Linked DNA regions of Notamacropus eugenii. The protein of the gene in region 2 purifies or fractionates together with the protein of the main gene of each other region. This does not show direct contact. Links are inferred from orthologs where the notes say so. Each region holds a gene or a part of one and is shown on either strand. Other genes may lie near its edges.

The links.
Region 1: the proteins of NDUFAF5 (region 2) and NDUFAF8 purify together in Homo sapiens (affinity purification with mass spectrometry; 3 studies listed by BioGRID and IntAct, counting the BioPlex papers as one, with this or other methods). This does not show direct contact. The link is inferred for Notamacropus eugenii from reciprocal best matches to the Homo sapiens genes NDUFAF5 and NDUFAF8.

Annotation. Positions count from the first base shown.
Region 1 is NC_092873.1:324,705,925-324,722,175, reverse strand, and holds NDUFAF8 (NADH dehydrogenase [ubiquinone] 1 alpha subcomplex assembly factor 8), read right to left. Parts: upstream 8,995-16,251; 5' UTR 8,922-8,994; coding exon 8,838-8,921; intron 8,744-8,837; coding exon 8,633-8,743; intron 6,118-8,632; coding exon 6,097-6,117; 3' UTR 5,759-6,096; downstream 1-5,758. Other genes in the region: AP-4 complex accessory subunit tepsin, read left to right, coding at 9,308-9,352, 12,851-12,923, 13,236-13,327, 13,582-13,675, 14,932-14,999, 15,346-15,424, 15,636-15,707. UniProt on the Homo sapiens protein: Involved in the assembly of mitochondrial NADH:ubiquinone oxidoreductase complex (complex I, MT-ND1). Required to stabilize NDUFAF5.
Region 2 is NC_092872.1:587,945,769-587,962,039, reverse strand, and holds the start of NDUFAF5 (arginine-hydroxylase NDUFAF5, mitochondrial), read right to left. Parts: upstream 6,615-16,271; 5' UTR 6,510-6,614; coding exon 6,264-6,509; intron 3,508-6,263; coding exon 3,467-3,507; intron 1-3,466. Other genes in the region: ESF1 homolog, read left to right, coding at 8,069-8,705, 16,144-16,271. UniProt on the Homo sapiens protein: Arginine hydroxylase that mediates hydroxylation of 'Arg-111' of NDUFS7 and is involved in the assembly of mitochondrial NADH:ubiquinone oxidoreductase complex (complex I, MT-ND1) at early stages. May also have methyltransferase activity.

The DNA.
Region 1 (16,251 bases), on a different chromosome or scaffold from region 2:
TCCCACCTCCCTGTGTGCGTTTAGGTTTTTGCCCGTATCTAGAATGCTCTCCTTTTTCTTGTTAGCCATAACCGATCCCTTTCATTTCTGACATCCTGTACCATAGATTTTAGCACTTGATTATATATTGTTATTTTCTCTGCTGGTTTTATCCCCTGGCTGGATTGCTTCTTGGACAAGACTAATGTTTTCCCAGTGCTTGCAACAGTCCTGAATACATACTAGGGGTTTAATAAATACTTGATTGATGGAGGAAAGAGAACAGATGTGAGGTTTCAAAGGAATAATAAGGCATGATAACCCAATGGATAGTGGTGATGAAGGATTCTGGGAACTCAGCTGGCTCCAAAATATTGAACCTCATTGACCAGGAAGAAGGAGAATGGCAGAAACGCAGCTTGGTAAGGATCAGTTTGGGAGCATTGTGGAAGAAGGAGAGAAATTCAGTTTTGGAATAACTAGCCAGACAATTAGAATTAATGCTAAGATCAGTTTGGGGAGTTGAAAGATGCTGGGGTGATAGTTATATCTTGTAGGTGAATTTCTTAGACAATAAGTGTAGAGAATAATGGCTAAACTTTATATAGTGCTTTAAGGTTTACAAATTGCTTTAGAAATGCTCTATTTTATTCCTCACAACCTGGAAAGTAGATGTTATTATCCCTGTTTTACACATAAGGAAACTCAGTTCTTCCTGGCTTCAGGCCTACCAGCAGGTGGCTGAGATCCAGTTAAGGTGGCAGAAGAAAAAGACCTTTTATGAAATTGTAGTTTAGTCATGTTAAAAAAGCTAAAACTAGGAAAACTATATGAGAATTGCCAACATCACAGTGCTTGTGGAAAAGTAAGTGCTTATTATCAGAATTGGAAGATGCTAAACTTAGTAGCTTCATTGTGCCTGTACCTTTCCCTTCCCAAGGCAAAATCAGTATTATGGTCATTGCTCAGGACACAGAAACTGCTCTAACACCACTCCCTTATCAGTAGTAAGAAGGATGGGCTGCTGCCAAGTACCCAATCCCAGAAACGCATTTGGGGATCTTTTAGCTCTGAATTTCTGTGGTTACTGTGAAATGGAACACTAAGTACCATGATAGAAATCTGTTAAAGTAGCCTTTGAAAAGTAATAGACTCCTGTTCAGAAAACAGGCTGGAACTATGGCCCTTCTTTAAGCTGTTTCCCATTGCTAGCTTGGACAGCACTGGGCCCCAGCCTAAGGGCTCTCTTCTGGACCCTCTTAGCTTAAGAGTGATTATCAGTAGAAACTGTTGCTGTTTCCTTCCCAGCCTGATGTCTTTTTCTTGGCCTCATTAAAGGGGCCATGCCCTGGCTACTTCCTAAACAGGCCTATTCAATGAATGGGCATTGCCTCACCCTAAGTGAGTACCTGCATAGACCTTGGCCTAAAGGGGCCAAGATCTCCCAGTGCATCCTGAATCATCTCCAGTCATCCTGATGAATATCTGGTCACTGGATTCAGATGGCTCTGGAAGAGAAGTGAGGCTGGTGACCTGCACAGCCTTCCTTTACTCAAAGCAAAGTCAAGTGCAAGTCATGTCAGCATGTCTCTGATGGCATGGTCTTCTTCGGCAGTGATGGCAGTGAAGGAGGAACACAGTTGCCAGGATCACAGATTTGGGTATTTAAACACTTTTGTTCCTGGAGTAGTTTTAAAATAGGATTCCTAAGTCAAAATAGGACAGTGGCCTAGGGAGCAGAACTCCAGGATTATAAACTCACTTTCAGTACAAACACTGGGACTCTGGTAACTTTAGAACAAAGGCCGTTGACCCCACTTTTGTTTTAAAACAGAGGTGTACCCAGTTTCAATGAAAATTTCTTAGATTCACTATATATGTAATTGAAGTTCCCTGTGCTTAACTTTGTATGATGGCTTTATGTTCATCAATTAGATTTTTTGAGACTATTTTACAAGGTTCCATTAAATAGATCTAAAATGAGAAAGGATCTCAGAGGCTATTTGTCCCATCCCTTAATTTTATAGTCAGTATGTGACTTGCACAGGGTGACTCAGTATCCAAGGTGGAACTGGAATCCTGAAATGCCTTTTCCACTATACCATTCTTCCTTTATGTAGCAAATAAACAGCTTCTACTCTAGGCAATGCAATGAAATACTCGTGGACCACAGCATGCAATCAAAACTTTATTTATGATAAGACTGAAAAGAATACAATGCCTAATAGCTAATACAAGTAAAATTCTATTCCTTTCAGCTTTTGCATTCAATCTCAGTAATAGCAACACTGGATCAGAAAGGTATTCCCATAGGGAAGTGGGAATTATGATAAATCTCTCATTATGAAGGCTGAATTTTTTTTTTTATGCCCCATGAACTCCATACCAACTAAGTCCGAAGGGCAGCATCTAAGGGGAGGCTGCCCCAGCCTATGTAAAATAAAGACTTCCTACCATATCCCACCACCTGGTGACAGGGTCCTCCAATTCCTTCAGTGCAGGGGTTGGCAAACTCGGGGCCAAGGGTTATATAATAAAACTTTATTTTAAAATGTAAAGACCATTCTTATCTTGCTGGCCATACAAAAATTATGCAGATCCCTATTCAGGGGATCTTTGTTTGCTGAAAAGACCTTCAAGTAACTGACCTTGAAAGGAGTCTGGCATAAGCAGTACTGGAGGAATATTCCAAGTGCATGTAATAAAAATACAAAGCAATACAAAATATCCTTTAAAAAGCAGAATCCATGTAGTGGGGGTGGTAACAGGCAGTTCATAGATGGTCTTCCAATGTAAAAGTAACACGAAGCCAGGGGGTTAGACTAGGACCTAGACTGCCTGGACCACCACATTGGCAAGGGCAATAACAGCCAGTGTTATCAGTGCAATAATTTTACTCAATTCCCAATAATCTACTGTAACCCCTAGGTAATATCCACCTTCTTTCGCAGCCACAGAAGCTTATTATAAGGGGAGTTGGAATAAGTTTAGCCCCCTTCGTTTTCATTACAAGGAAAGAAGTATCTTTCACAGACCCCTCTTCACACACACACGCACACACGCAAACTCATATCTCATATGCCCTTTTTGGCCCTTAGTATTTATTTAAATCTTAGATCATTCCGTCAATGAAGAGCCTCATGTGACATAATAAGAAATCTCATACTAGTTAGAAATGAGAGACAGGTGATAGGCTCCTGCTCAGAAACATGCTGGAACTATGGCCCTTTGGGGCTTCTGATTTAGCTGACTTGGTACTAACTTTGCAGAGAAAACCTCTGCAAATTCCCTAAGCCAAAGGAACTGCTGCTGAAAGAATTTTGTCATTAGATCACATATTCATTAGTTCATTCCAATGAATCATCGGTTTGCAGTTGCCATTTCTCTTATAATCTTTCAATTCCCTCCATCCTGAAAGCCATCTTCAACTCTCCAGAAGAGAACATCGTGGAAGTTTGTAACAAAGCTTTCTTACTGGTGGATGTTCTTGGCTCCTATTATCTTCCTTCTTAGTTTTAGTCTCATCGATGCTTTTCTGTTATCAGTCTTCACTCTCTCAGCCTAGCCTTTTTTAACCTGAGAAATTTCTAAATTCATTAACTACACACCATCCCCTCCTTGAAGGCATGATCCTTAAAAACCAAAAATCTTTTCTTTCACATCCCAATTGATGACCATGCAGTGAGTTTTTCATTTTCCTTAGGTTGGTAATCCAGTTTTTCTCTATCTCTCAGCAAAAGCCAGGGAATACTGATCCTCCCTTTTTTATTCTCCCTACCAAGGTCCTCAAATATCCACTGGGCTAACGCACCAGGGTCAGTGAAAGCTACCTCCTTCCCTAAATATGCCTAACACAAATGCAGCTCCCATACTTGGCTACGCAGTCACCCAAGGAGCCTTTTCCCACGTTGTATTTCAATCTAAACCTGCTGGCAAATGCCAGATGGTCTAGGCTAGGCCTCATTTGGGCCAGTCCAATGATTCAGATTAGGGATTAGAAACAGGTAGCTGGCAGTTTAAAGTACTGGACCTGGAGTCAGGAAAATCTTGTTTCAGACACAGTAGTATCTGCCTCTCAGGGCTGCAGTAAGATCAAATGAGGTATTTGTAAAGGGCCATATAATGCTAGCCATTACTATTATTAGCACAATACAACACTTGTGGACCATAAAATGCAATAAAATTGTATACTAAAAAAAGGATGTAATTACTAATGCAATTATACTCAGTTATCCTCCACTTTTGCATTCAACATGGCAATAGTCAGAAAGGAATCTCTAGGGAACTCAACTAAACCTTTTCAGTGCAGATGCCATAGGCTGGGCTTTTTATACCTGTAGTCCTCCACACCAAGGAAGGAAAGGGGAAGGGCATGCACATTTATTAAGCACCTGCTATGTACTAAGTTCTTAATATGATCACATTTGATCCTCATGACAATCCTGGAAGATAGATGCCATTATCTTCATTTTGCAGCTGAGGAAATTGAAGCAGACAGAAGTGAAGTGACTTACCTAGGTCAGAGTATCTGGGTCCAGACTCAAACTCCCTTTCTGACACCAGGCTTAGCACTCTATCTGCTGTACCACCTAGCTACCTCCTGATTTTAAAGCAAAACTACCTTGTCTAAACAAAGCAAATACCACTTTTACCCTAGGAAGAAACAGGGTAGTATTTAGAAAGAAGGATTCTTAAGGGGAATATAGTTGGAAGTATAGAAGGCCTATCCCTTCTTCCCCAGCATCCATATAGACACATCAAGTCCTCCATCCTTCCGTGTCTTTACTTCTTTCTAAGACATCTGCTCATGCTCAGCCCTTCCTGACTGAATTAACTTGGCTGAGTTAGGCCAGCGTTTCATGGAGATACAAAGATTAGTGGACGTAAAAGCCAGACAACTATCCATTAGATCTGAGGTGAGCAAAGAAATGAAAATTTAATAGGCAAAAGTGGAAGCATGGGTGTTTTGGGTGGGGGAGGGGATTTTTCCCCTAGGGTTGACTTATTAAAGTCAACTGGTTAACAGCAAAAAAGTATAATGGTAAATGGCTATATAATTATTTGTAAATGAAAGGAGATAGTAGTACTCTTAAGAAATATCAGACACCTGGTAACACTTGAATGAACTGATGCAGATGGAAGTAGAACCAAAACAATTTAGGCAACCATAATAATACAAAGGAAAACAGCTCTGAAAGACTACAGAGCTCTGATTAATGCAAAGACCAATCATGACATTAGATGATGAATCATGCTTCCCACCATTTGGCAAATGATAGGTGATGGAATCAATGTACAGAATGAGTTACACATTTTCAGCTATGGCCCATGTATTGGTTTTTCTTAACCATGCAAATTTGTTACAAAAGATTCTGTTGTGGAGAGGGAGGAGGAAGAGTTGATGAGGACCTAAAGAAGCAAAGATCATCACGAAAACTTTTTTAAATACAAAAAAGTTTAGAAGGCCAAAAACTGCCCTGCTCATGTCTTATTACTGTTCTTAGCTCTTTAAAAATCTGTAACAAAAAATTCCATTTCACATACAATCTTCTTTTGTATGTTGAAATGTTCATGTTTGCCAGCCAAGATTTAAATTTTAAAACACAAAACCTAGAGTTTATTTTATAGAGCTAAGGCTAATAGTTTTCACTTGTTTTTCAAGTCGTTACACAGGAGTGGAAACCTTACCAGAGTTCTTGCTTCTCGAGGGTTGTTAAATTTTCTTTGGGCATGGTACTCAGTCTCAGAAAAGTCAAGCCACAATATATACTTATACAGCTAATTTAAACTCAGACTTTATTTTTAATTAAACTAGGTCCCACTTTAACCAAAATTTTTATTTACACAAAGTTTGCAAAATAACTCTTACACCATCCATCCTTGCTAATTCTGTTTGGCTTTTATGTGTGTATGTGTGCATATACATAACGTATGTATACATGTATGAGTGTGTGCAAGTGTGCACAAGCACATCCTTAAAACAAAGAAACACTTGTTTCACTTCTAAGAGCTTCAGGTGTTTGCTGCCTTGGTGCTGTAGGTAAAATCCGACTTCATGCTGATGGCTAGCACTGAATGGAAGGTGAATTCCAGTGATTCAAAGCCCATCCTAATGCATCAGTTCACGGTCTTCTTGGCCTGAAATGATAAAAAGCATGTGGAGTCAACTGACTGCTTTAATATTAAACATGATTCTGTTATGAAAATATAGGAAATCAAGCACTGTTGGGAAGAGGCAGAATTTGCCAACTGCCCACCCTGCCCTAACAAGATAAATGGATCTATCTGTTCATCAACTTTGCCTATAATCCCTAGTTTGATTATGGTGCCCCAGCAAAGGTTCTGATTTTGTTCTCTCATATTCTCATTAGTTTTGGTCTACAGCACATCTACAGCTTACAACTCCTGACCCCAACTATTTGTATTGACCTATCTATCTGTCTTTGGTCATAAGGGGAACCTGTTAAAATATGGATGGATAGTGATTCACACTAGGAAAAATTAAAGCACAACACTACTTAGGGTGGCACAGAAAGATAATTTTCCCAAGGATGGCATATTTAGGTTAAGCTTTTCCCATTAATGGGAAATAATTAGGTTAAATAATTCATTTCTGAACTTGAGGATTTCACCTTCTCTTTCTCACAAGCTTTTTCCAGTGCTGAGTAACTAGACAGAATGACATTTCTCCTCCTTCCCCACTTCTTAACCCACCCACTGCTAACCCAAAATAATGAAGCTGTTTTCAGGAAAGAGAAATAATGAAATAGTGAAAAAACAATCAATGAAGGATAGATTTACTGGAGAAGAGAAAAACTAAGCTCTTCAGTAGTAGAGGCAGCGTGTGGCCTTTGACAAGGGCACTGGCTGTCTGGATCTCTTGACATTGCTTTTTAATTGCAATGATATGAACTACGTAAATTCTTTCAGTACAGCATTCATACTTTTGATCATCTCATGTTTAAGAAAGTATCCCTTATATTCAAATGAAATCTATTATATATATAGTTTAAAAGCACTCTTTCTAGTTTAATCATTTGTGGCTGTAACTACCAAAAATCACTTTGTTAAAACCTTTCATGCACCGTAATCATATAGCTCTTTAGTCATCTCTTGTCCACTCAGATCCTAATACCTAAAAGGCTTCATTTTCAGGATAGTGATAGTCTGCGTATCCTTTACTAGAAGACAATCACAATTTGGACTCAACTTCAAACTGGCCACAGGGTTTTGATTTTTAACCACAGCAACTTTTTACAGGTCTTTAGTATTTAAATAAATATTCCCCAGGCATAATGCACTATGTCCACGACTGTATATCCAAAACTGGACATTCCATTTTATTAAAAATCTAACATGCAGGCTTCACTATAGTGTTTACCCAACAACACAGATTCAAAGAGTCATTTGGGCAATGAGGAGTTAATGTAACATTGCTACTCAGCAATCCTGCAAAATGTCTTATGTTTTGATATTTTAAGTATCAATCTCCTGGGAGAATCTAACAGGAGTTATAGGTTACTGTTTCATATTTTAAGTGGTTGTCAATATGCACTTATGAGTCTCCTGTTTTAAGCCATTTCTTGAGTGGAGTTAATAGCAATCCAAGACCTGGAAAAAAAAACAAACCAAACTTACTTTCCATTACACTGCTATGCTAACTTATTTGTTTATTCATTCTGGAAACTATCATTAACTGTGTCATTCTAGAGATGGACAGCAGATTACTCAGCAGTAAGGAATCACATTCCTTCGACTAAGTCCTAAATTTAGGCCTCATGACTCCAGCAGCCTTTCCCCCCAATACAGCTTTGTCCAGTCATCTGTACTGGTAAGGTGCTGGTCCTCTGGAAGCAGTGCAGTGCAGAGAATACAGCTTTGTCCAGTCATCTGTACTGGTAAGGTGCTGGTCCTCTGGAAGCAGTGCAGTGCAGAGGTTCTCATCCTGCCTCTGACTGTGTATTACTACCCTAACTCAGACAAGTCACTTCACCTCCTTAGGTTTCAGTCACTTGTAAAACAAGAAGGACTGAAGTGGAAGGTGCTTCAGGTTCTTCCTAGCTCAGGTCTTCGGTTCTATGATCCTTTACATCAATCTCCTTGAAAACGGGAGGAAATGTAGTCCTTCCCTCCAAACTAAACCTGACCAGCTATGTTCAGGACACCATAAAGGTTAAAGAGAGATAACAAAACGCCAAAAAAACAGTCTCTGCTCTACGATCTATTAATAAGATGTTACTGTTAGAGGAAATAACTACAAAACAGGGTAAGTGCCACAGGAGTGCCAGGAGGGACGATTCAGCCGTGGGCATGGGAGCTGGTCTGGGGAGGAGGGGGGTTGAGACAATCCAGAGGAGGGTCTGCAAGAGCGAGGAGTGGGGACTCCTCCGTGTGCCCAGCTCCAGCAGAAGTATACGCTGCACCTGGTTCTAGCATGTTTTACGTGAGTTCTCTGTAGTAGGCATCTTCAAGGGTCGGGGGCTTTTAGGGGGTGCCGTGCTTCATGCAGGGGACGGTCCCCTTTCAATATCTAAGGTGGCACCGTCTCCACCACCCTTCTCCTAGGCCCTGCACCCAGGCAGGGAGCGGAACCTGCTGGGGAGGGGGATGGGAGGGAAGGGAAGCCGTAACAAGGCCCAGCGGCCGCACGTACAGCTGCCAGGAAGCAATTCCTCAGGGCCTCAAACTCCTTGGCGCAAAGGTTCTTCCTCAGGTCCCCGCCGGGGGCCGTGGCGGCCTGGACGCACTTCCCATACGCCGCGGCCTGGAGGGGAGAGAGAGAGACAGATCGGAAGGCCCGGTCACGGGGGAAGGGCCTCCGCGCTCCGGCCCCGAATTTCCAGAAGAGACCCTCTCACCTCGGCCCCACAGGTCGCCAGCCTCTCCGGAAAGCTCTGTATCCGGCTTCGAACTCGGCTCCACACAGCTCCGGTCCCCGACATGAGAAGCTTGTCCTCTCCCCCTTAGACGCTGCCATCTTGGATCCTCCTACTTCCGGCTTCTGTTCACTGCTGATAGGGTGGAACTCCTGTCTTTAACTTTAGGAGAACCTTCTTATTGGTTTAATGATAATTTCCCCCTCCTCTTCCCTCCCGTCATCACCATCACCCGCTTCCCTGAAGGATTCACTCGATTCTCTCAGAGCCTTGTCATTGGTTCATAGCCCTTGTCTGTTTCCGTTCTCCGACTTCGGATTGGTCCGAGATCAATTTGTTTATTAAGGACGTCCTCGGGGCTCCTCCCCTCCGCGAGCGATTGGCCTACAGTACCCGCTCCGGCACGGTGATTGGCGGAAGTGGGAGCCGGCTGGTGAGGGCGTCCGGGGATCATGGCCGCTCCGCAGCTCCGGGACCGGCTGAGCTTCTTACACCGAGTGAGTACCAGGCTGCACCCGAGCCCCGCTGACCAGACCTATGACTCCGGCCGATACCCAAGAGGCCTGGGCTGTGGCCTCTGCACTGCCCTGGCCTCCGATCCGAGCCATTTACCCGGGCAGAGGTCGCCCGCTCTCCCGTTCCGAGGGAGAACTTCGGGCAGGGCCCGGGGCCTCCCTGGGCCTCCGTCTCCTGCCACTCCGGCCGTCTCTGGCTGCGTCTGCAAGCCCTGGCCTCCCGAGGTCTTCTCCCCTTCCCACCCCCCTTTCCGGCTGCACGTGCCGAGAACCTCTGCGCCTCAGTTTTCCTCCCCTGTAAAATGGGCGGGCTGGGGGAGAAGGTCCCCAGAATGCCCTCAGCGCCTGCTCCGTGGTCCCGTGATCCTCCACGTCCTCTTATTCTTTCGCTTCCCAGCCCCCTCCCCAGTCACCCAAGCAGAGCTACTGTCCGGATCCTTTCCTGCCGAGGGTCTGCCTTCCTCGGCCATGCCCACAGCTCTCCTGGAAGGGTGGTTCCCTCCCTCCCCATTCAGGGATCCGTGTCGTCTTCCGGTCCCCTTATCCAGACTTAGAAACCTCCTCCGAGCAGTTCCTTCCTCCTCTTCGTGTGTGCACCCCAACCTTAAGTCCTTTATAAAGCCAGGGTTCTTAATAGCCTGGGATCCATTTGTTTTCTAAAGTATTCTGATGTCCATATTTCAATATAACCACTTTCCTTAATTTTACGTATTTAAAGGCATCATTCTCACAAGGGGGTCCATAGGCTTCACCGAACACACCCAGAAAACTACTTGGAGAAAGAGGTTCATGGGCTTTACCAAGTCAACAAACATTTATTACCCGCCTGCTGTGCACCCAATACTTTGCTAAGCCAAAGAAAGGCAAAGAGCAACCCTTGCCCTCAAGGAGTTTAAAATCTAATGAAGAGACAGCCTAGGAATAACTATGTGCAAACAAAGTTATATACAGAATAAGTTGGTGGTAATCTCAGAGGGAAGGTACTTTCATTAAGGGGACTTGGAAAAGTTTCTTGGAGAAGGTAGGATTTTTAACTAGGATTAGAAGGAAGCCAGGTTACCAAGCCCCCTGAGCAAACTGACCCCTTCTCTCTCAAGGTTTGCTGCTGTACTGATGATGTTGAGATATAGTTATCAGAATATCTGAAAATATCATCATATATTTTTTTAAAGTTCATGGACCTTGGGCTGTTAAGAACCCCTTGCCTGAGATAAGGAAGAAATCTGTCTGGAACCTTCCCATTCTCTTCTCCTTCTCCTTCTCTCCTCAATTTCAGTCTAACAGTCTCTTATTTCCCTTGGTGGCGCTGTCCACTCTTGCTACTCACTCTGAAATTTCACGACAATTGACAAAGAAGGGATGACAGGAACATAACATTATTAAATAGAAGCAGAGGTCTGTAATTTTCTTTTTTCCCCAAATTTATTAATTTATTTGTTTTCAGTTTTCAACAATTTCTAACATAAGTTCCAGATTTTCTCCCCCTACTCCCTCCCCAAGACAGCATGCAATCTTATATGGGCTCTACATATACATTCCTATTAAACACATTTTCACTTTAGTCATGTTGCATAGAAGAATTAAAACCAATGGGAGAAACCATGAGAAAAGCAAAACATAACAAAAGAGAAAATAGTCCTTCATTCTGTGTTCCGACTCCATAGTTCTTTCTTGGGGTGTCGATGGCATTTTGCATCAAGTCCTTTGTAATTTTCTAGTACAGCTTCTCTTCACTCCCCTCTTTCCTACTCATACTTCCTTCCTCAATACACACATGCAGTGGGATCCAACGCTGTTCCTTTCCAGTCCTTGACTTCTGTGGTCACCAACCAGGTTTTACCACAATTACTTAAAAGTTCTTTTGAGTTCTTTTACAACTTTTTTGAATGAAGTTCATATTACCCTCCTGTTCAGAATGTCATAATTATTTCTAAAAGGAAAGATATTGGTGATTTCTGTAGCAGGATTACAGCTCTGAGGTAAACTACCTGACGGTAGTTGATCCTTCGCATGATTTCTGTTGGCAGTGGGCATTATTCAGTCCCTACTGCCTGTCAAGCATGCCTAGTGATGTCACTGCCAGTATAGGGTGATGCCAGCTTTCAGAATTGATTTAGGTGCCAGGTCAGAAACGTAGGAGGGTGTTGAAATAACTAACACACTAAACCTAGGGTTGGGCTTGTCCAAACTTCAGTTCCATGTGGACGATTTTGGTGACGCATAGTGGCGTCTATCTTAATATAATCTAGAGGGAGAGTCAGAGTGAGCCAGCAAGCTTCTGTCTCCCTTGTTGTCTTTCTGGGGCATCCCTTACTTTATATTAGGGGGAAAGCCTAATAATGACTCAGCCCTAGATTATTTAGCTCATTCCAAATTCTGTGCAAATCTTTGATAATACACATACTTGCTTTTACATAGTTGTACATCCTAAGTAGTGTTTCCTTTTTCACTTAACATTTCATCTGAACATTTCCATGATCTTACATACTTCATATCTTTGTCATTTTAAAGTCAAGATAGTGTTACAGACCATTCAAGTGCCAGTTATGTGTCAGGATGCGCAGATTTGGAGTATCCACCTCAAATATTCATACGAACTATCTGTGCCCAACCTGTGGTAGAGCATTCTGAGCCACAGTCCAACACACTGAAACTTCACTTTATCATGGTGATGTTATTTTGGTCCTCTTTAAGAATGAAGGACAACAACCAACCATGTGATCTGCCATTACACCATTCTTGTATTGTTTGAATTATTTCTACTCTTGTAAGTGGTACCACTCTAAACATTTTTGAACAGATTTTTCCCCTCTTTGGATGATTTCCTTGGGATCTGTTCTACAAGATAGATTCCCAGATCAAAGGACAAAGAATAGAAGCCTTTTTGTATCTTTTGTGACATATTACCACATTTTCTTCAGAAAAACTGAAACTGTATCTTGGGTGCCACTGAAAATGTATATAAACATGGATGTAGGTAAATAAGAAATAAGTACACCAATTTCCCTACAACACAGCCAATATCAGACTTTGTTATTCTAATTTATTTTTGCTAGCTCAGTAGATATATGATGGTACCTTAAAGTTATGTCTCTTTAATTGCCAGGGAAGCTATGACCTATGGGCCACCTCATTCCAAGCACAGGAATCTTCCTATTTGCTTGGAAAGCTGCATGCTGGAACAACTTTTCTTATTTACCACTCAACTCTACCATCCCTATGAGCTATCAGTGGCGTCCCCAGCAAACCTGTTTCACTGGCATATTGAAAAAAGAAATGAACATAAATTTGGGGCTAAATGCTCCATTAGCAACACCATCCTGTTAGAGCTAGTATCCAGGTCACATTTTCTTGGGTGACAAGACCTTCCATGTATGGAAGGAACTGTACCTAAAGAACAAACATGGATATAGGGATGTCCCTGTGTGAAAAGATTACCAATGGAGATGGGGGGGGGGGGTTTCTCTTGTTCTCATCTAGCTCCCAATTCTGATGAAAGGAACGTCTGATGATGATGTCCCATGCCCTGGCTACCTGTTTGAAGAGATTGCTAGTATCCTTTTCCCAAGAAGACAAGAACAGCAGCTTTTGGGACAGGCCATGAAAGAGCTATGGTTTTGATGGGATTACCTATCAGGGATTACTGGATTATTTAAGAGGCACATTGAGGTGGTTTGGTAATTGGATTGGGAAGACTAATAAGGCTGTATGCTGGTTCTTCAGCTAAACCTAAATTATCATAGTTTTTCCTCAAAAGAAATTATTATAGAAAAAAAGGAGGAGGTTGTAGTGAGAAGGCTCAATTTTCCCCTTCCCTTCATTGCAATCTGGAGTCTGTCCTTTCCCTAACATGATTGCCTCCCAGAAATTTCCCATGAGTCAGTGGGAAGCAGCCAGTGTCTGTTGGAGTACCTCCTGAACCGTTTACAGAGCAACTCCTGCCATGTTAAACTCAAGGTAAGCAGGAGAGAGGAAGGGTAGGACCCCTCAGCTGGTTCCCAGGGCCCTGGTCGAGTCAAGACAAGCCAGGGCAGAATTTAGACAGAAGAAAAGAAAGAGAAAGAAGAGGACAGTGGTACGGTTAATCCACATCACAGATGTATGTGGATGGTATGGTAGCACAGGGGGCTTTCCCGGGCCCTGGGTATGTGTCATTAGGTCTGCATTGCAACCCAATGTGGTCTTTCACTTGATATCTTTTCTCTTTCCAGGCACTGAAAATCTTGCTGTACATGTGTAGCCATGGCTCTTCATCCTTTCTGCTTGCACTCAAACGCAATGTGTCCTTCATCCAGGAAGCAGCAGGTATCTGGGAGTTTTAGAACTAATCTCTGTTGGGAGATTATAGAGAAAAGTGGGAAAAGTTCAGTTAGAATATTCAGTTTCCTTTTCCTATCAGTTTTAGTTTGGAATTTGACCCTTTCGTAACATTAATTAGGAAATGACATTGTAATTCACAGAAATCTCTATCTTAGAGTGAGAGAGAAGACAATAAGGGTTTGGTTTCAGGATGGAGAAAGTCTGAACTCCCATCAGGGGACATGGATTCCACATCCTCAGCCTGGCTTGGGCCCTGTCTCCTCCTCTTGAGGACTGTTCTCCAGAAGCCAATTGAAGGGGGAAATTGAACGATTCTCCAGACCTTGAGTGGCTGTTTACATTTACTGATAAAGGAAAGTCCACTCGGAGCTGGGGGGAGGGAGAACTTATTTATTTATTCCGAGCAAAGAAACAGGTGGTTCTGGAATTGGGCCTTCAATTCTTGCCTTCTGATCTTGGTTCCATCAGTCTTTTCACATTAGTTGCCTATACTCAGAGCTAGTTAAACTTCTGCTTGTCCTCATGGGAAGAGGGGAATGAAAAACATTGACTGGAGTTAAAGGAAAACATCTCCCTGGAGCAATTTTAAAGGCTCTTAATCCGTGGAATGTCCTTGGAAATATATCCCAGGGATGGGCATCATTGCTGCTGACTGCTCCAGCCAGCTGCTCTGAGTGAAGGAGTGGAATGACAAGGCCCTGCAAAAAGTCACCTAGTCCTTTGATCAGGACCTCTTTTCAACCAGGCATTAAAAGTTAGCTCTGTTTCCTGAAAATCTTCCCCCAACCCCCCCCCCAAAGTCCATGAATTCTTTGAGTAATTGAATACATTATTTTGCAACCTTTTCAGACCTAGGGTCTGTCCTTTCATCTCTCTTACATCTGTCTTTCATCAGTGGGAGCTCATTCTCTTTTGATCTCTTCTTCATGATGTTACCAGAAAGGTGGCATTTTAGGGCAAGATACGGAGGCTTTGAGGAAAATGTCCCTGGAGGCTAACACAGAGAGACATCCAAGTGCTTGAGGGAAAGAAGTCCTGGAGAAGGGAACGGAGTGACAAGAGGCAGCGACTCTGGGGAAGCAACTGAGGGACATGGGAAGTTGGGCTTTTGGAGTAATCTAGCACTTGTGTGGAGAGCCATTTCTAAATGGACTGGAATGGAGAAATCGTTCTATACATTTGGGAGTAAATGGTTCAGAGCCTCATGTTTTTTTCTACTTCCTGCCCTCCTTATTTTGTAGTATTTGGTGGTCTCCCAGATCCTCTTCATGGAAACAGCTTATATCAGAAGGTCCGAGTGGCTGCCCAGGTGAGTCTTAAAGCTAGCATTAAGTCTGAGCAATATTGAACAAGGAGGCCTCCCTCTGGATTAGGCGGTACTTGGTGGACACCTTTGCCCATTGGCATCCTGAGTTTAGAATGCAGGGCTTGTGCCTGAGAGCTAGTCTCCCATTTTCCTTTTCTTGCCCACCCAAAGAATGTTGCTATGGACCATCCTGGGACTTGGAGAGAATTTCTGTTCCTTATTGTTTGTTTAGTCGCACCCCTTTAGCATCTTGCTGGGGCTGAGGGAGGTGGAGCGCAGAGCAGAGCCCTCTCAGGACTGCTGAGTGCAGAGGGCAGGATGCTGACACAACTTTCCATCCCTCTTCTAGGACTTGGCGAGTGCTTTGTTTTCTGATAACTTGTTGCCGTTGCCTTCCTCCCAGTCTCCTAGGTCCCTTCCTTCAACAGGTAAAGTAGATACTCCCTTCTCTTCCTTTCTCTTTAAGTCAGTTTTCAGTCCCTTTTATCCCTGGGCCCTTTAAGTCAGTGCTTGCTGGGTCAAAATGGAGAAAAACTCATCTTCTCTCTCTGTTCCCTTCCCCTGGAGTTTCTCTGCCCAGTGAATGTGGAATTTCTCCCTTCTCACTTCCAGCTCAAGGTATTTTATTTTTCTCCCTAGGTATGGGATCCCAGTCCAGTTCCTATAGCACCCTCCAAGGCTTTGGCTACACCAAGGACAAGGGAAGCTCTGGTGAGTATTCACCATGGGACTCCAGTCTTCTTAGTTCAAGGTGTTCTCTTACTGCTGCTCTTACTGGTCTGTCCGTCTGAGGATGGCATAGGCTGCGTCAGCAGAGGACTTTCTGGAAAGCTGGTCAAAGGAAATAAGATCGAGAAGGCTTTGTTTGCAAAACTTCAAGTGCTATATCAGCATTGGGTTAGAAAAAAAAGGACTGGGATATCTTGGTTTTCCTGAAGTGGAGTTTATGGGGCTAATGGCTAAGGACTTTGAGGATAAGGACTTAGCAACACTGATACCAAGCTTTAGAGCCATGCTCAGGGTATGGGCACTGTGACCTTGACCTGAGCTGGGGAAAGTTGAGAGCTGGGTCCAATTGGCCAGAGGGCAGGAAACCTAAAGTTGACTTCCAGTAAATAATATGTGACAATCTGAATGGACCTGTGCTCTCCTTCCCCTCGCCAGTTTCACATTTCTTTTGCCTTGTTTTTGGTAGGATCATAGAATGTTGAGAGATAGCTATGGTATAGTGGATAGAGGGTCTGGATAGAGGGTC
Region 2 (16,271 bases):
GTAATATGAGTAAACTGGCAGTATGGTGACTTTAACCCCCGACCTAAGTCTAAATCCCAGTGTGCAGCAAGGAGGGGACATGTGCCTAGAAGCATCAACAGCTTACTGGAGCTCCAACCAGGAGACTTGCACCAAGGGTAGCAACAATCTTCTGGAGAACCAACCAAAATCAAGCCTAATTAGTATCATCCAGAGCTGAACCCAGGTGAGGAGCTTGCAAAGCTCAGAAAAGAGAGCAGTGATCAGACTGTTCTCTACATCAGACTTCATAGGGGGCAGGGCAAGTTTGCTTTCAGGGATCCATCCAGAGCCACCTCTTAGCACCTTCAAAACCAGAGGACTTAATCCATAGAGCAGCAGCTGGATCCCAGAGAATACCTGGTGGGACTAATCAAGACTCAGACATTCCCACCAGAAGTGCAGAGAGCCAGGATCTAAGACAAAGTCCCAATTCAGAAAGTGAGGCTGGAAGAATGAGCAAACAGAAAAAGACTCCTATAATAAAGTACTATTATTGATTCATTCAATAAACATTTATTAAGCACCTGCTATGTGATAAGTGCTGGGGATACAAAGAAGCAAAAGGCAGACCCTGCCCTCTAGGAATTCATAATCTAACAAGGGAGACAACATACAAAGAAATATATACAAGGAAGCTACATATAGGATAAAGAGAAAACAATTAACAGACGGAAGGCACTGGAATTAAGAGCACTGGGATTTTAGTTGGGACTCAAAGGAAATCATGGAAGTCAGTAATCAGCAGAGGAAGGAGAATATTTGTTCCAGGAATGGAATATCCAGAAAAAATATCTGAAGCTGATAGATGGAGTACCATATCTGTGGAACAACCAGGAGCCAGTGTCACTGGACAGAAGAATACATGTTAGGGAGAAAGGTATAAGAAGACTGGAAAGACAGATGGGAGTTAAATTTTATGAAGGGCTCTGAATGCCAAATAAAACACTTTGTATTTGCTCCTGCAGGCTATAATAGGAAGTCAATGGAGTGGATGGAGTAGAGGAGTGACATGGCCAGATCTTCATTTTAGAAAAATCACATTAGTGACTGAATGAAGAATGGATTGGAGTGAGGAGGTATATCAGGTAGACCCACCAGCAGGTTACTGCAATACACAAGGCATGAGGTGATGAGGACCTGCACCAAAGTGGTGCAAGTGTCGGAGGAGAGAAGGGAGTATTCAAGCAATGTTACTTAGATGAAATCAATAAGCCTTGCTTGGCATGAGTTTGGCTACAGTGAGGAATCCAGAATGATGCCTAGGTTTCAAACCTGAGGGACTGGGACGATGGTGTTGCTCTCTGTTGTTGTCTGTCCTTTGATCTTGAAGAGGACCATGACATCAGGGAGGTGATGCCATGACATGCATGTGAATTGGATTTAAGCAAGGAAGGACCATACAAAGTCATCACCCTCACTTTCTCCTCCAGAGCCATCTGGGTCCAGTGGCAAGATATAGATCAGGAGGAATGAAGATACTCTGGATGCAGTGAGAGACATTGGTCTTTTTAAGCTAAGGCCTTTAATAGGTCTCACTTTGACTGAGGCAATGACATTTAGTGATTAAGGCTAAGTAAGAAATTTAACAGAGAATGGGCTATGTTACCTAGTTTAAAAAAAAAAATCTGGGAAGAGAAGACCCTCAGGATTTCTGGCCAAAACAAAAATAACTGCTATTTACGTTCACTCTGAGTCAATCATGGCCCAAACAATGAGCAAGTGGAGCTTGGCCTAGGAACTATCGTTGGCCAAACAATGACAGCCAGAGTGATTTGGGTTTAAAAGGCATGGTACTTAAGAAAGAAATCTAGCTGCTAGAACCCCAAGCTATTTTGCTAGGTTTCAGAGATCAAAATTTATAGTCCTTTGGGCAGAGCACCCACAAGTAAGGGTATGACACCCTATGTATCTTATGTGGACAGAGGGAAAGAAGGAAGAAAGGAAGAGAAAGAAAGGAGCTGTGTTGCCCAACTGGCCATTACCAGTTGGGTGCCCAGTGAGGCAACTCCTACTACTACTCAGAGAAGTTGTTGTTTGTGCTTCATTCTCAAAGAGGACCATATTATCAGGGAGGTGATGCAATGACATCCAAGTGAACTGGATTTAACCAAGAGAGGGCAGTGCAAAGTCAACAGTTGCCCTCTATAATAAATAGGGAAGGTAGAAAGTGAAGGGTTTAGGGGGAAAGATGAGTTCTGTTTTGGACATATTGAGTTTAAGATGTCTACTAGATATCTAATTTGAGATGTCTAAAAGGCAAGTGGAGATGTGAGACTGGAGAGAAGGAGCAAGTTTGGAGTAAGAAAGTAAATTTGAGAATTGTCAGCATAGAGATGGTAATTAAATCCACAGGAGCTGATGAGATCACCAAGCGAAATAATATGCAGGGAAAGGAGAGGAAGACCCAGGACAAAACCCTGGACATGATTTGGAGGAGGAACCAGCAAAGGAAACAGAAGTGGTCATATAGGTAGGAAGAAAACCAAGAGAGAATAGTGAGTGTCTTGAAAACCTAGAGAGAAAAGAGTATTACGAAGAAAATGATCAATGGTGTCAAAGACTGCTGAGAGGTCAAGGAGAATGAGGACTGAGAAAAGGTCACTGGATTTGTCAACTAAGAGAGCAAGGGTAACTGGAGAGGGTGGCTTCAGTGGAATAAGACTGAAAACTATTGTAGGGAGTTAAGAAGAAATCATAAGAGGAGAAAAATTGGAGGGATCTATTGCAAATGGCCTTTTCAAAGAGTTTAGTACAAAGAGCAGAAGAGACATAAGATGAGAGTGGGGATGAAAGGATCTCCTGAGACCTTTTTCAGAACGGGAGATACATGTAACATGGTTGAAGAAACTAAGGATGTTTAGGCTAGAGAAGAGAAAACTTAGCAGACATAATAACTGTCTTCAAGTGTTTGAAGGGCTGTAATGTGAAAGAGGTTAGATTTGTTTTTTCTGGCCCCAGAGGGAAGACCTAGAAGCAATAGGTAGAAGTGGCAAAGAGTTAAGTTTAGGCTTGAAATAAGTAAATACTTATTAATTAGAGGTATGGGCTTTGTCGATTGCCCCATATTGGAATACACACAAGTGAAAAACTAGATGAACATTTGTTATACCTTTGTTCAGGTAATAAACTGCACTAAAGATACTTTTAATATCCCTTTCAACTATAAAATTCTATGATTCTGTTATGTAATGCCACAAGGGAAAAGTGGTAGACACATAGCATGCTCCACTTTTTATCAAAGCAATACCAAGATACTGAAAGCAAGAACTCTAGTATATTGGGAGGAATTCTAGAAGGACATAGACAAGAGTAGACAAAATGAGAAGGTGTGGATTAGCTTCAATCTGCATCACTAGAAAGGGAACTCATATGACATGACAGAACCATCAAAACAAGACTGTGCCTCAGAGTTAATAATACTTTGTTAAGTTGACCATTACCTTACCTGGCTATATCATATACACGGTCAGCAACACGACCACCAATCTGAAATAAAAAGCAATGACAAGATGATCAGGTTTTCCTAATAAGAATTCAATTTTTCAAGTTTTTTAAGTGCCTACTATGTGCCATACCTAAAATTTGGTGCTGGGAATACAATGTACAAAATAAAAACAATCCTTGTCCTAGAGGAGGTTACATTCTACTACAGAAAAAATGTAGAGTCTTTGGGGATATAAGTATAAAGAATGAAATGAGCTCTATTTGCAGGGAACTTGCATTCTAAAAGAAAAGACAGATATGTAAACATGTTCAGCATAACCATAAAGTGAATAAATAAACATGTACAAAGTAAAGATAAGGCTGTTTTGGAGAGAGGACACTAGCAGTTGGGGGAGAAAAGGAAAGGTTTCATGCAAAAGATGGTACCTGAGATGTATCTTAAAGGAAAAAAGGTAGACTATGAGGCAGAGGTAAGGAAGGAGTATATTCCAGGCCCTGGGGACAACTAGTGCTTTTTGGGGTGGGGGTGGGAAGAGAGCACAAGCAATCAGGAAACACTTCCTACTGTAGGAGGTGACATTTAAAATGAGCCTTGAAGACAGTTAGGAGTTATGAGAGACAGAGGTGAGGTAGAAGGGCATTCCAGGGACCATGGATAGCCTGTGAAAAAGTACACAGGAAGGAGATAGAATATCAGCATCTAGGGGGTACAGGGGATAAAGTGCTAAACTTGGGAGTCAGGAAGACCCGAGTTTAAATTCTGCCTCATGATATTCAGGATCCTGGCCAAGAAACTTAACTTCCACCTCAGTTTCCCTCTATAAAATGAAGTTAATAAGAGTGGAACCTAAGGAAGTCAATGAGATCACTGGGATCCCCGCCTCTACAAATCTGAAATTAAGTTAGATTCTAGGACTAGAGGTAGGAAGGAGACATGTTCTTCTTTCCCAATCACTTTTTTTACTGTAGGAGCTAGTGGCTGCCCACTAAGTTATCTTTTATTTATTTTGTGTATGCCTTACATGTGCTTGTTGTCTCCCTAAACAGGATGTAAACTCCAAGAAAGCACAAATCATTTGATCTTTATTTCTGCATTCCCAAGGGCTCAGAGTAATATTTAGGACAGAGCAGGCAATTAACGTTGGTGGAATGATTACTGTTTGGGCGTTATACTAGAATAAACGTAAGTTTGAAAACACAATAAAAGGTGATGGGATTTGGGAAACTCAAAATCTTATCCATTTGCTAGCAGCTAAAGCTCTAACCAAAGCATAGAAGAGAAATGGATTTGAAGTCAAAGTCAGCCTCTGCTGCTTCTGTTGTGGCTTAGTCATTCTTTCAGTCATGTCTGACTCTTCAGGACTCCTTTTGGGCTTTGCTTGGCAAAGATACTAGATTGGCTTTCCATTTCCTTCTCCAGCACATTTCAAATGTAAGGAAACTGAGGCAGACAGGGTTAAGTGACTTGCCCAGAGTCACACAGCTAGTTAAATGTCTGAGGCTGAATACGAACTAAGGTCGTCCTGCTCCATCCACTACAACACCAGCTGCCCTTCTGCTTACTGCCTGTATTTTTTGGCAAATCACTTCATCCCTCCCCACCTCATTTTCCTTGTCTACAAAAAGGATAAGCTAGACTAAATGATCTCTAAGGTCCTTTCCAACTTTAGCTCTTATGTTCCTTTAAGATGACAACTGCTTCCATTAAGCAGTATCAAAAACACTGAATGCATCTAAAATTCTTTATATAAAGTCAACATGTAGTGTTTTAACATAAACTGGTTTTAAATTATTTAACAGTTTTGCTCACATTTTTCAGCCTAACTTACAGTGGGTTTTTTAGTATTCTAAATCTTTCCATGTTGCTGGATTCCCTTTACCTACTTATAGCACAGGCTTGTTTACTTTTAGAGGAAAAAACCCGTTTCTTTGACACAGAACGTTGTTTTGATTTCATAGTTTATGTGTATTTAAAAATTGTATTTGGAAAGAGTTGTGTATTTCTTGCCTTCTCGATAGGTGGCTGTGAGAGAAGGGAGAGACTGGAATTGAAAATAAAACTGAATGAAAAAAGGATGACTATTTATATCTGAATTAATAAAGTAGGCCTGGAAGAGTAAGCTTACAGCTAGTGATAACACTTATATCGCACTTTGCAGAGTATGCACTATTATTATTTCCTTTTAAAAGATGAAGCTTAGACAGGTTAAAGTGGATAGTGCTGAGACGCGGTTTCAAGTCAGCTCTTCCTAGCGGGACCTCAATTAACCTCTCCCAGCCTCAGTTTCCACATCTGTAAAATTAGTTTGATATCGCACCTACTTTTGTCAAGAGAATCGTGAGTTAAAGAGCAAAATAAATGCAAGATACTAGTAAAGGCACCATAACTGGGGCATGATTCCATTAAAATTTAAGTTCTTTGAGGACTTTCTATCCCCAGGGCTTAGCACAACGCTTTAAACATATTTGGGGAGTTATGATACAATCGGGCGTACGGGGGAAGGGGCTTTCTTTCGTTCTCCAACACATGGCATAGAACCTGGCACTTAAACGTTTGTTGACTGACTGTGGAACTGACTTGATGCGTACGTCGACTTGGCTCTTAGTCCCAGAACGCAGCCGCCTAACTTCCTGCCTCCGTGCCTATGTCCAGGCCGGTTCTCCGTACCTGGCATCCCCAGCCGGAGGAAACTTTACCTTTATCCATTCGTGGCTCAGGTCAGCGGCAGCGGGGTTGGCTGCGATCCGTGTCGGGGCCGGGCCTCCCCGCTCGCGCCCTCCCGAGACGATGCACTCACCTCTTCCTTCAGGTAGTCGTACTTCAGGTGTTCCGGCTGCTGGGCCGCCCAGTTCTTCTGTTTCCTCTTCAACGCCCGATCGAAGACATTCACGACGCCGGGGGCGGTGCCGCCCAACGGGGAGAAGCACGAAGAAGTGCCCCGGGATCTGCTCTGCCGGCCACCGCCACAACCACAGCCCGCCGGGCGGGGAGGCGCCAGCGGTACGAGCCGCCGGCACCACGGCAACCGCGCAGCCCTCAGCATGTCAGCTCGCCGCCCTCGACCTCCGCGCAACCTCCGTCGGTCACGTCAACGCGCCGACGCACCGTCGCCCGCACGTCCATGCGCATGCGCGGCGGCAGTACTACAGATACACTTCCGCAGGCGCGCTTAACGCGAAGCTACGGGTTTGACCTGGATCACTTGCCGTAGCTCCGGAGCTTAACGCAAAGGATTGTGGGCCTGAATTTCTCCATGTGATGTTGCGAGAACACTCGCCGAGAGAGCTCCAAGTTCGGGTGGCGGAGTTGTAAGAGATTCACCTCTCCAAGGTGAATGGTATAGTCTACTGACTATAGCCTGACCCTGGCCAGGAAGTGATAGTGGCCACCGTCCTCGATCTTCCTCTTCATCGGGGGAGCAGCCGGCCCCTCCGAGTGCCGAGGGCTTCCTCCACCTGCGTGAGGTAGGGGAACTGCTCACGTGCCGGCCGTGCGTCCGTGCTCGGACACGTAACGGGTAGAGCTCTGGCCCTGGAGCACGGAGATCTGAGTGCACCTCCGCCCTCAGACAGTTCCTACCTTGTGACCCTGGGAAAAGCGTTTAACCGTTTTTTCTCAGTGTCCTTATCTGTGAGATGGGGGTTGTCACGATACCTTCCCCTCCCCCCACCCCCGGGTTGTTGTGAGGATCAAATGAAATAACGATTGTGAAGCGCTTCGCGTAGTGCCTGGCACGTAGTGAAATACGTACCATATATGGGCATATGTATCTGTGCATATGTGTGAATATATACACGTGCACACTTAGTGTTATTAGTTTTTTTGAGACCTAAATTTCCCCTCTGTAAAACGTGCTGTAATATAGAACGTCGCACAAGGGTTGGTGCGGTACGCGGCACCGAGGCTCGTGAGGCACCCTGGCCTTGCGCAGGCCAGCCCTTGTCGTTCTCTCGACCCTCCTTACGTAGTTTGGGAGCTTGTGGGGGAGAGTGCCGGACCAGAATGGCAGCCACACCCCCTCACCCTCTTTTGGGGAGAGCCCAGAAGTTTTCTACGCTTATCCCCAGTATTTTAGCGAAACCAGGAGTTTGAGGATAAAAAAAGAAAGCTGGTTGTTAGGCAGGTTTCAGCTCTAAAATTTGATGATGGCGTGGAAATCTCTGTATTCCTATTTTTGATGTATTGGAGGTTGTGTTATTTATTGTTACTTATTTTTTAGGTGATACTTTTATTGCTTCAGATTTCTTTGGAAAAGATAGGTGTTCCCACATCCCTTGTGAGGTTTTCTTTTGTGCAGGGTGATTAATTAGGGTAGCAATTTTCTGAGCCAGAAAACTGGGAAACCTGGTCTGACCACTAGGATGCTTTTTAAAAATTAAAAAATTTTAAAAATATGAATATTGTAGGTGTAACCCACTTTTTAGTAGAGAACAACGTAAACCATTTTATCGTATGTTGCTTTATTTTATATAAAATGTAACTTAAAAGATTCACTGAAGTTTTCTTGAAACCAATTTTGGTTTAGCAAACTTAAATCTTTATAGTCACATTTTTTCAGTTTTTTAGGCTATTCGAGGTTTTGGTCAACAAAGAAGTTTAAAAATGGCATCAAAAGAAGATCTTATGAAGGATGAGCGGTTTCGGCGAATTACACAGGACCCTAGATTTTGGGAAATGCCAGAAAAGGACCGAAAAATTAAAATTGATAAGAGATTTCGAGCAATGTTCCATGACAAAAAGTTCAAGTTGAAATATACTGTGGATAAAAGAGGACGTCCCATAAGTCACAGCAGTACAGAGGATTTGAAACGTTATTATGACTTATCAGATTCAGACTCTGATCTCTCAGATAAAGATAGTGAAGCATCAAACAAAAAGAAAACTAACAAAAAGAACCAGAAAACTAAAAAAGGAGATTCAAAAAAATTACTGGATAAGGAAAAAAGCAATACTGTTAAGCCAAAGGAAGACTTTGGACTTGGGAAAAAGCCAGATGATTATGAAAATATTTGGAAAACACAGCATTCAAGTAGAGTTAAGAAAGTGCATGCACAAAATAATCTGCAAAAGGATGAGAAAGAATCAAAAAATAAAGACATAAAGAATCAAAAAGATGCCGTGCTCTCTAAGGCAGACCCATCATCCAGAGGAAAACTAAAAATATCAGAACTGGACAATAATAAAATTGTGAGATCTTCCAAAGTGAAGTTTCCTAAAGAGAAAGAGAAATGTGACTCAGGTTAGTTACAAAAATAAGTTGTAAAAGTTTTTATTGACTATAGCATCTCTTTTGCCTCTCTTATTTGATTTTTAAAATATTTTTTGAGTTCTTCCAGGTATTCTTGTGTGGTATGTATTCAGTTCACATTTTTCTTTGAAGTTTTGTTTGGAGCTGCTTTGATATACTTGTCTTCTAGATTTGTGCCTTCACTTTTCCCTTTCACCATAGTAATTTATTTTGATCACTTTCTTTTTTTGTTATTTGACCATTTCTCAGCCTATATCTTAACTTTTAAGTTTATATTTAAGTTGGGTTCTGTGCTTGGGATAGTTTGTTCCAAGCTTCACGCCTTTCTTCCTATTGTTTTCAGAGCTAGCTCTGGGGATCTGTAGGTTTCTGGTACTTCTAAGTCAGTATGATCTAAGGAGAGGTGGGGTCACAGTTCTCCTGATCTGTTTACTGGTCTTTACCCAGAAAGGGACTTTGTTTCCCTGTAGCTACCAGTACTATCATCCCTCCTGGCCTTAAGACTGACCAGGTCCCTCTCCTCTCCTGCAGTCACAGTTGCTAGTTCTTGCCTCTGTCTTAGAATTGAGACCAGGGTCCCTACTCTTCCCATTGGTGACAACAAGCATACCTCTCTGCTCTTGAACCATAACCTGGGCCCCTACTCTCCTGTACCACAAGTATTACTGCTTCTTCTGGCCCTGGGACTACAACCTGGAACTGTATGGACAATGCAGCTGTCCTGATTCCAGCACCAGCAAAGGGTCTTCTAGGATCTGCTTTTGACCAGTTGTTTAACCCTCTGCCTGCCACCGCCAAAGTCTGTGGGCTGAAAGAGCTGGAATTGCTGCTATCACCCATGGAGCTACCCCAAAGCATGTCCTTGGGCCCATCCACCACCGTGCTAAGACAGGCCTTTTCTACCAACTCCTAAATTGTCTGGGGCTGGAAAATTATTTCACTAGTTCCGCCACTCCAGCATTTGATTTGAAGCATTATTATAGAGTTTATTAGAGGGAGATTTGGGAGAACTTGACCGAAAGCTTCTTTATTGCACTATCTTGGCTCCACTCCTTTAAAAGTAACTTTTACTTCTGACTGCTTTTGACCTCCCTCTTATTCCTTCCTTCCCCTTCTCCTTAACCTCTTTCCCTCTTCTTTGTTGGGTAAGATACATTTCTGTACCCAGTTGTATGGGTATATATTCTTCCTTCCTTGAACCAGTTAAGATTCAAGTGTTGTCCAGTCCCCACTATTCCCTGTTCTTTTGTATCAACTCTTCCTTGCGTGCCTCATTTGTATAAAATAATATCTTCCACCTTTTATGCTTCTTTCCCTCCTCTCCCAGGGCACCTTTTAAGTTCATCTAAATGTAACAGAACCACACTCAGGCTCTCTAATTAGATTCCGTTTTAGCCCAGTGATGATAATAAAGTTCTGAGAATTTACATATAATCCTTCCATATAAAGAAGTAAACAGTTAAGCTTATTAATTCCTTTTGATTTCTTACTCATATTTACCTTTTTGTGCTTCTCTTGAATCCTGTATTTGTGTGTCAAATTTTCTATTTAGCTCTAGTCTTTTCATCAGTAATGCTTGAAAGTCAAGTATTTCTTTAAGTCCTTTTTCCCCCTAGAGAATTATACTTCATTTTGCTGGCTAGGTTATTCTTGGTTGCAATCCTAGATCAAGTTTTTGGAATATCATTACATCTCTTCACTTCTCTATAGTGGTGGCTGCTGAATCTTGTGTGATTTAACTGTGGCTCTGCACATCTTGAATTTTTTTCTTTTTAGTTACTTGTCTGTAATAATTTTTTTTCCTTGATAGGAGCTCAGAATTTTAGTCATAATGTTCCTAGAAATTTTCACATTGTAGTTTCTTTCATTTTCTGCTTTGTTGTCAGGTTCTAAGATATCTGGGCAGTTTTACGATTTCTTGAAAAATGATAGCTAGATTTTTTTTTTTTTTTTAGTCATTGCTTTCAGGTAGTCCAGTGAGTTTTTAGATTATATATCCTTGATTTGTTTTCTAGGTCAGTTTTTCCTATGAGATATTTCACGTCTTTTTTTTATTTCAGTCTTTTGATTTTATTTTATCATTGATTGATGTTTCTTGGGGTCATTAGCTTCCATTTGTCCAGTTCTGAGTTTCAAGAAGTCACTTTGTATAGTAAGGTTTTCATCCTCTTTTAACAAGCTGCTAATTCTCTTTTCAGACCTTTCTTCCATAGCTCTCTTTTGGTTTTTTAAATCATTTTTAAATTCTTGCAAAAATTTTTGTTGGGCTTTTGTCCACAATGCATTTTTCATTTCTTTGAGGCTTTGTGTATAGCTATTTCCAGGTTATTCTCTTCTGTGTTTGTATCTTGAGCTTCCCTGTAACCATAGTAGGTCTTCATGGATAAGTTCTTTTTGTTTATTTGTTTCCTCTTACTTTTAGCCTGCTCTTTGACTTTGAACTTTGTGTTAGTACTGGGTTTTGCACACTTTAGAGATGTCTGGCCTGAGCTTCTATCCTCTTACATCCTTCTATTGCTTTCATATCTCTGACTGGAGGCCTACAAGTTTTTCAGTGTTCCCAGAGTGGTGTGGTTCAGGAAAAGATCTGTTCATTTTCCTCCTGGTCTGGGTTCTCTGCAAGTTCCTTAACAAGGTTTTGATTTGTTGGCCTTGTGTATGGTTGAGTTACAGCAGATAGCTGTTGGATTCAGTCACTGTTATCCTGCTTGGAGGCTATGTAGGTTTGAAGTAATTGAATTGCTGGTTCCCTTTGATCTGGCATTCTTGCCCTGGTTACTCTATAGCAGGCCTGTGTACAGGGCTTAAGGCTAAAGTTTAGAACTGAGTTGTCACTCTTCTCCTGGGCTCAGAGCCACACAACTGCATTTCTGGATCTTGTTCCTTGCTCAGTACACAGCTAGGGTGGGCCCATGCTCTCTGATGACCACTCCTCCATGATCCACACCTGGCCAGTGTGCCCTGTAGCTTCCAGATGGCACCTAGCACTAGTTCAAAAATCCTCTGGGATACCTTTCTGATCAGGTTTTTCTTTTCCTCTTTATACCTGGGTGCTAAATATTTCCTTCATTGCTGCCCATGTTTCTGACCAGGTCCCCATTCCCCATATCCATATGCTATCTACCTTAGCTTCCCTGACCTGGAAAAATGACTTACTGACTTTTTCTTGGCTTTCTCATTTCGCTTTATTGTGGTACATTTACTGGATTTTGGGAGGGAGGTATGCTGGGTAAGCTTGACAGAAATGCTTTGTCTTGTTCTACCATTCTGCGATTCCACCTCACTGCATGCAGTTCAGTTCACCAAGGCATTAGAGGCCTGGTGAGGTGCCTAAGACTCATAGGAGTGGAGCAGAAAGTCTAAACAGCAGCAGGTAGAAGTCCAGTCAAAAAATCAGAAAAGTTCAGTAAAAGATTATAATAGACTCAGGCACATGACCTGGAGTCATAAATCACATCAATTTATCAATTTGGACTTGTCAAAACCACAACTGACATTCAAGTGACTTTCAGTAGCTACTTGAATATATCTCACTTTAATGCTTTCCTGTTTAAACTAAATGGTATCATATATGGTTTGAGATTCGAAAGGGACCTTAGAGGTCAATTTCATCACCCCTTTTATTGTTGAAGAAACAGAACTAGAAAGATTAAGATATTTGGTAGCAGAAGTAGAATTTGAACTTAAATTACAAATTGAGTTTTCTTTTGCCTGTTTTATTCTGATTCTTGTGTTCAGCCACAAAAATTAAATTGGGATAAATTTTACTGTATGTTTGTCCAGAGATAAACTGTGGTTGTCTGAATTACAGATACAGACCCAAAGGCGTTTGATGCTAGAATGGCCTCCTTTCCATTTAGTTTAGTCTAAAACGGTGAAAATAAGAAAAAATACTCACATTGTAGCAAAATTTTATCTACCTTAAAAAGTGTATGTGAAATTTTTCAGAAACCAAAAATAAATAATCCAAGCTACTACTAATGGCTTTCACTATAGTTCTTATTTTAAAATATCCCTTTGGAGTCAGAAAGCCTTGACTCAATTTCCCCTCTTGCAGTCAATCACTGACTCTGTTGTCATTGAGATTACTTAACCTCTCTGAACCTGAGCTCCCTCATTGATAAAGTAAGGACGATGCTTGTTCCTACCTCACAAGGTGGTGATTAGGCTTAAATGAGAGGACATAAGAAAAGCAGTTGGCAGACTTTAAAGTTCTGAACTTAAATGTCTGGTGTTGTCATTATTATTTATTTTTAAAATCCCCTTTTCTAATATTTGGATGTTCATGTTATAGAAATATCTAAGGCAGAAATTCCTAGACTTATTCCTGTGCAGCATATTACTTAGTTATGGTTTCTCAGCCCCCGTACTTAATTTTCATTGGCTTCTGTTTGCTTTATGAAGCATAGTTAAGTAGTCAAGACAATGCAAGGAACATCAGATCAGCTTGTAAAATCGTTATGAATTAATATCCATATGTTGCTGGCTGGAAAAACTGTAATAACTTAGCAACACATGTTTCTTCACAAATACAGTAAAGTAAAACTTTAGTAATATAGACAGTATATTTTGGGAATTTTTGGTAATCTAGTTACAGTGGAAATAAAAAAATCTGAATCCATGGAAAACATTTTTTCTTTTGCGTTACACAAACCACTTCCCTAGATTTAGGAAAAACTGAAATTTTCACAGTTCTTTTAGAACCCTTTAGTGAATATTTTCTAGTAGGTATTGTTCTTTCATTTCTATCCATTCTTTATGGGGATACCAGTGTTAAATTGGCATGAAGATAGGTGTGAGAGAGGTTTAGAATGGACTAGAAGTAGCTTGGGTCTGAGGATATAAAATGATAACATACTTGGCGGCTTAAGAAGACTGTTTTCCCCACATTTCAGTGACTGATTACTAATTAGTCTATGAAGGAACCTCTGCTGTTGCAATGGAAGAGAAAGAGACCTTTGTAAAGGTTGGCGAAAAGAAGGCATAACTGTTAAAAAGTAAAGGGAAGTTGGATTTCAAAGTAAATTTTGTTTATGTGCACTCCCATGGCTTGTAAGGGCTAGTTTTGAGAAATAGTTGGAGAGCTAGAGGGACAGGAGAGAGATGCATTTAGGGACCTATATCAGAAAAGCTATAAGATTGAGCAAGAAGACATTAAAAAAGGGGCTGCAAATGAATATGAATCTGAGGGAAGATCTGTTATAGTAAAGTATACTATAGAGACTTTTTCTCTAGCAGTGGTGTCAAAAAGCCTGTCCTACTTTGAACATGTGTCAGAAGATCTTCCTAAAATGTTAATAAGTGCACTTAATGAGTTCACTAGTGTTTTTCTTCCCACCTGAGGAAACCTTCAGAATCAGGCACTTCCCCTAAAACGGTATCTGGTTCACATGCAAGTACTTTGGCTAATAAGACATAAAGTAAGGGGCAAATGTTATCTAACACAACAAAAAATTAGTAGAATGGGCTCATGATTGTACCTATAGACAATAAAGAATTAAAAAATTTTTTTTGTGGATCCCTCCCTTCCTTTAGTTCTCCCCAAATGAGTTTTCCCCGGCTTATAACGCTACTTTGGTGTGAGACATTGCCAGATAGATAGACCTCAGAATTGCTCAGGAATTCAGCAGTCCTTGCCCCTGGGTCCTTCCTGCCTTGGAGACTAGTAGTCCTGATTTAGTGCTATCCTGAGTGTGAATAGGTCCATAGCACCTTTTAAGTATTGAAGTATTTGTATACAAAAGAAAAATAATATACAATCTCATCTCACTTGATAGTGCCTATTATGTTCAAGGTATTGGATTTAAAAAGACAGAAACAAAGCAACCTCATGCCCTCATGGAATTTAAATTCTTCTAGTAGGGACAACATATACAAGTAAGCTGAGTAAATACAAAGAATGCTCAAAATTAATAAAAAGTAATTCCAAGAGAAAGAATCAGGAAAGCTTCAGGTAAGAGGTAGCAACTGATATGTGTCTTGAAGGAAGCTAGAGACAATAAGACGTGGAGGTGAAGGAGCTTGTTTGTGCAAAAGTTTGGAAGCAGGACATGGAAGGTAGTGTACGAGATACAGCTAACATACCAGTTCAAGAGTGAGAATGTGATGGGCAGTAATATGAAATGACTGGAAAGATAGATGAGATTCAGAATGTGGAAGCCTTTAAATGCCATGTAGGGGTTTTTGTATTTTATTGTTCTGGAAGTATGTAGAAGGTGATTAACAGTGTGGAATTCTGTTTTGACCCTATTGAGTTTGAGTTGTCTATGGGACAGCAGACAGGTAATTGATTAGAGTTTAGTTGAGAGATTGGGGCTGGATATGTACATTTGAGATTCACCTGGATGGAGATCTAATCCCAGGGAATCTGAGATTACCAAGGGAAGACTATAGCTAGAGCAAAGTAAAGGGACTAGGATAGAGCCTTGGAGTGTGCCCACACTTAGCGGGTGGGAGGGACCATGGTGCTATAGCAAAGGAGACTGAGAAGGAGTGTTCAGGAAACGAGGAGAAAAAACAGAGAAGAGAATTTCCAGAAGGGCTTGATGGTCAGTATCAGAAGCTACAGAGATGTTAAGTAGAGTGAGGACTGCCAAAAGGTAAGAAATATTGGTTGTAATAATAATAGCTAACATTTATGTAATACTGTAAGGTTTTCAAACAATTATACATATTTTATCTAATTTGGTCTTTATAACATCCATGTGAAGTAGTTGCTACTCCCACTTTACCCATGAGGACATGAGGCTGAGAAGATTAGCCTCTAAGTCTAACAAGACTTTTCCACTCACATAGCTAGTAAGTGTAAGGCAAGATTAGAACTCTTGACTTCCTGCCTCAAATCCACCCCTTTGTCCACAACATAGTTGTTTGTTGCAAGTTTGAGAAGTGAATGGGTGGTGAGTAAATAGTAAACTGCTGGTTTGGTACCTCTACCTGCATCCTATACAAGTTTAAGCTGAATAGGGCCTCTCTGCCATATCTAAGACTTCTTCATGCTCTGGTGCACAACTTCTCCCTGTGCTTTGGTGCTCAACCTGTTCTGTTCCTGGCTAGACCTTGTCCTTGGTGTATGCAGACCCCTCTGTCTCCATATGCTGACCTGGATTGATCAAATCTGATTTTTCTTGGATTTCCAAATCACCATTTAGTGTGGTGCATTTTCTAGATCTTTTGGCAAGAAATTTGAGGGAGGTGTGGGAGTGGTTTGCACTGTATTTCCATAATTTTGACTCCACGTGTCTATCCATCCATCAATCTATAGCTATACTTCTTTTAAAGGATTGTTGGGTGTTTTTATAAAACATGATTTGTACTCTTGCTCTTTTTTTCTGAAATAGCACATTTTAATTGTGTTTGAATATGTTTATACTGCCCTTGATTTGGTGTTTGTACTTGCTTGAAGTTTTTCTCCTTTAATTAATTGCAGATAGCAGTGATATTTATTTAGATATCAGTGACTCTGATGGTGAATTGGAGGAAGATACCGAAGATGGTAGTAAAACAGAAGATGATGAACAATCAGAAGATAGAAGTACAGGAGATAGTGAGGAAATC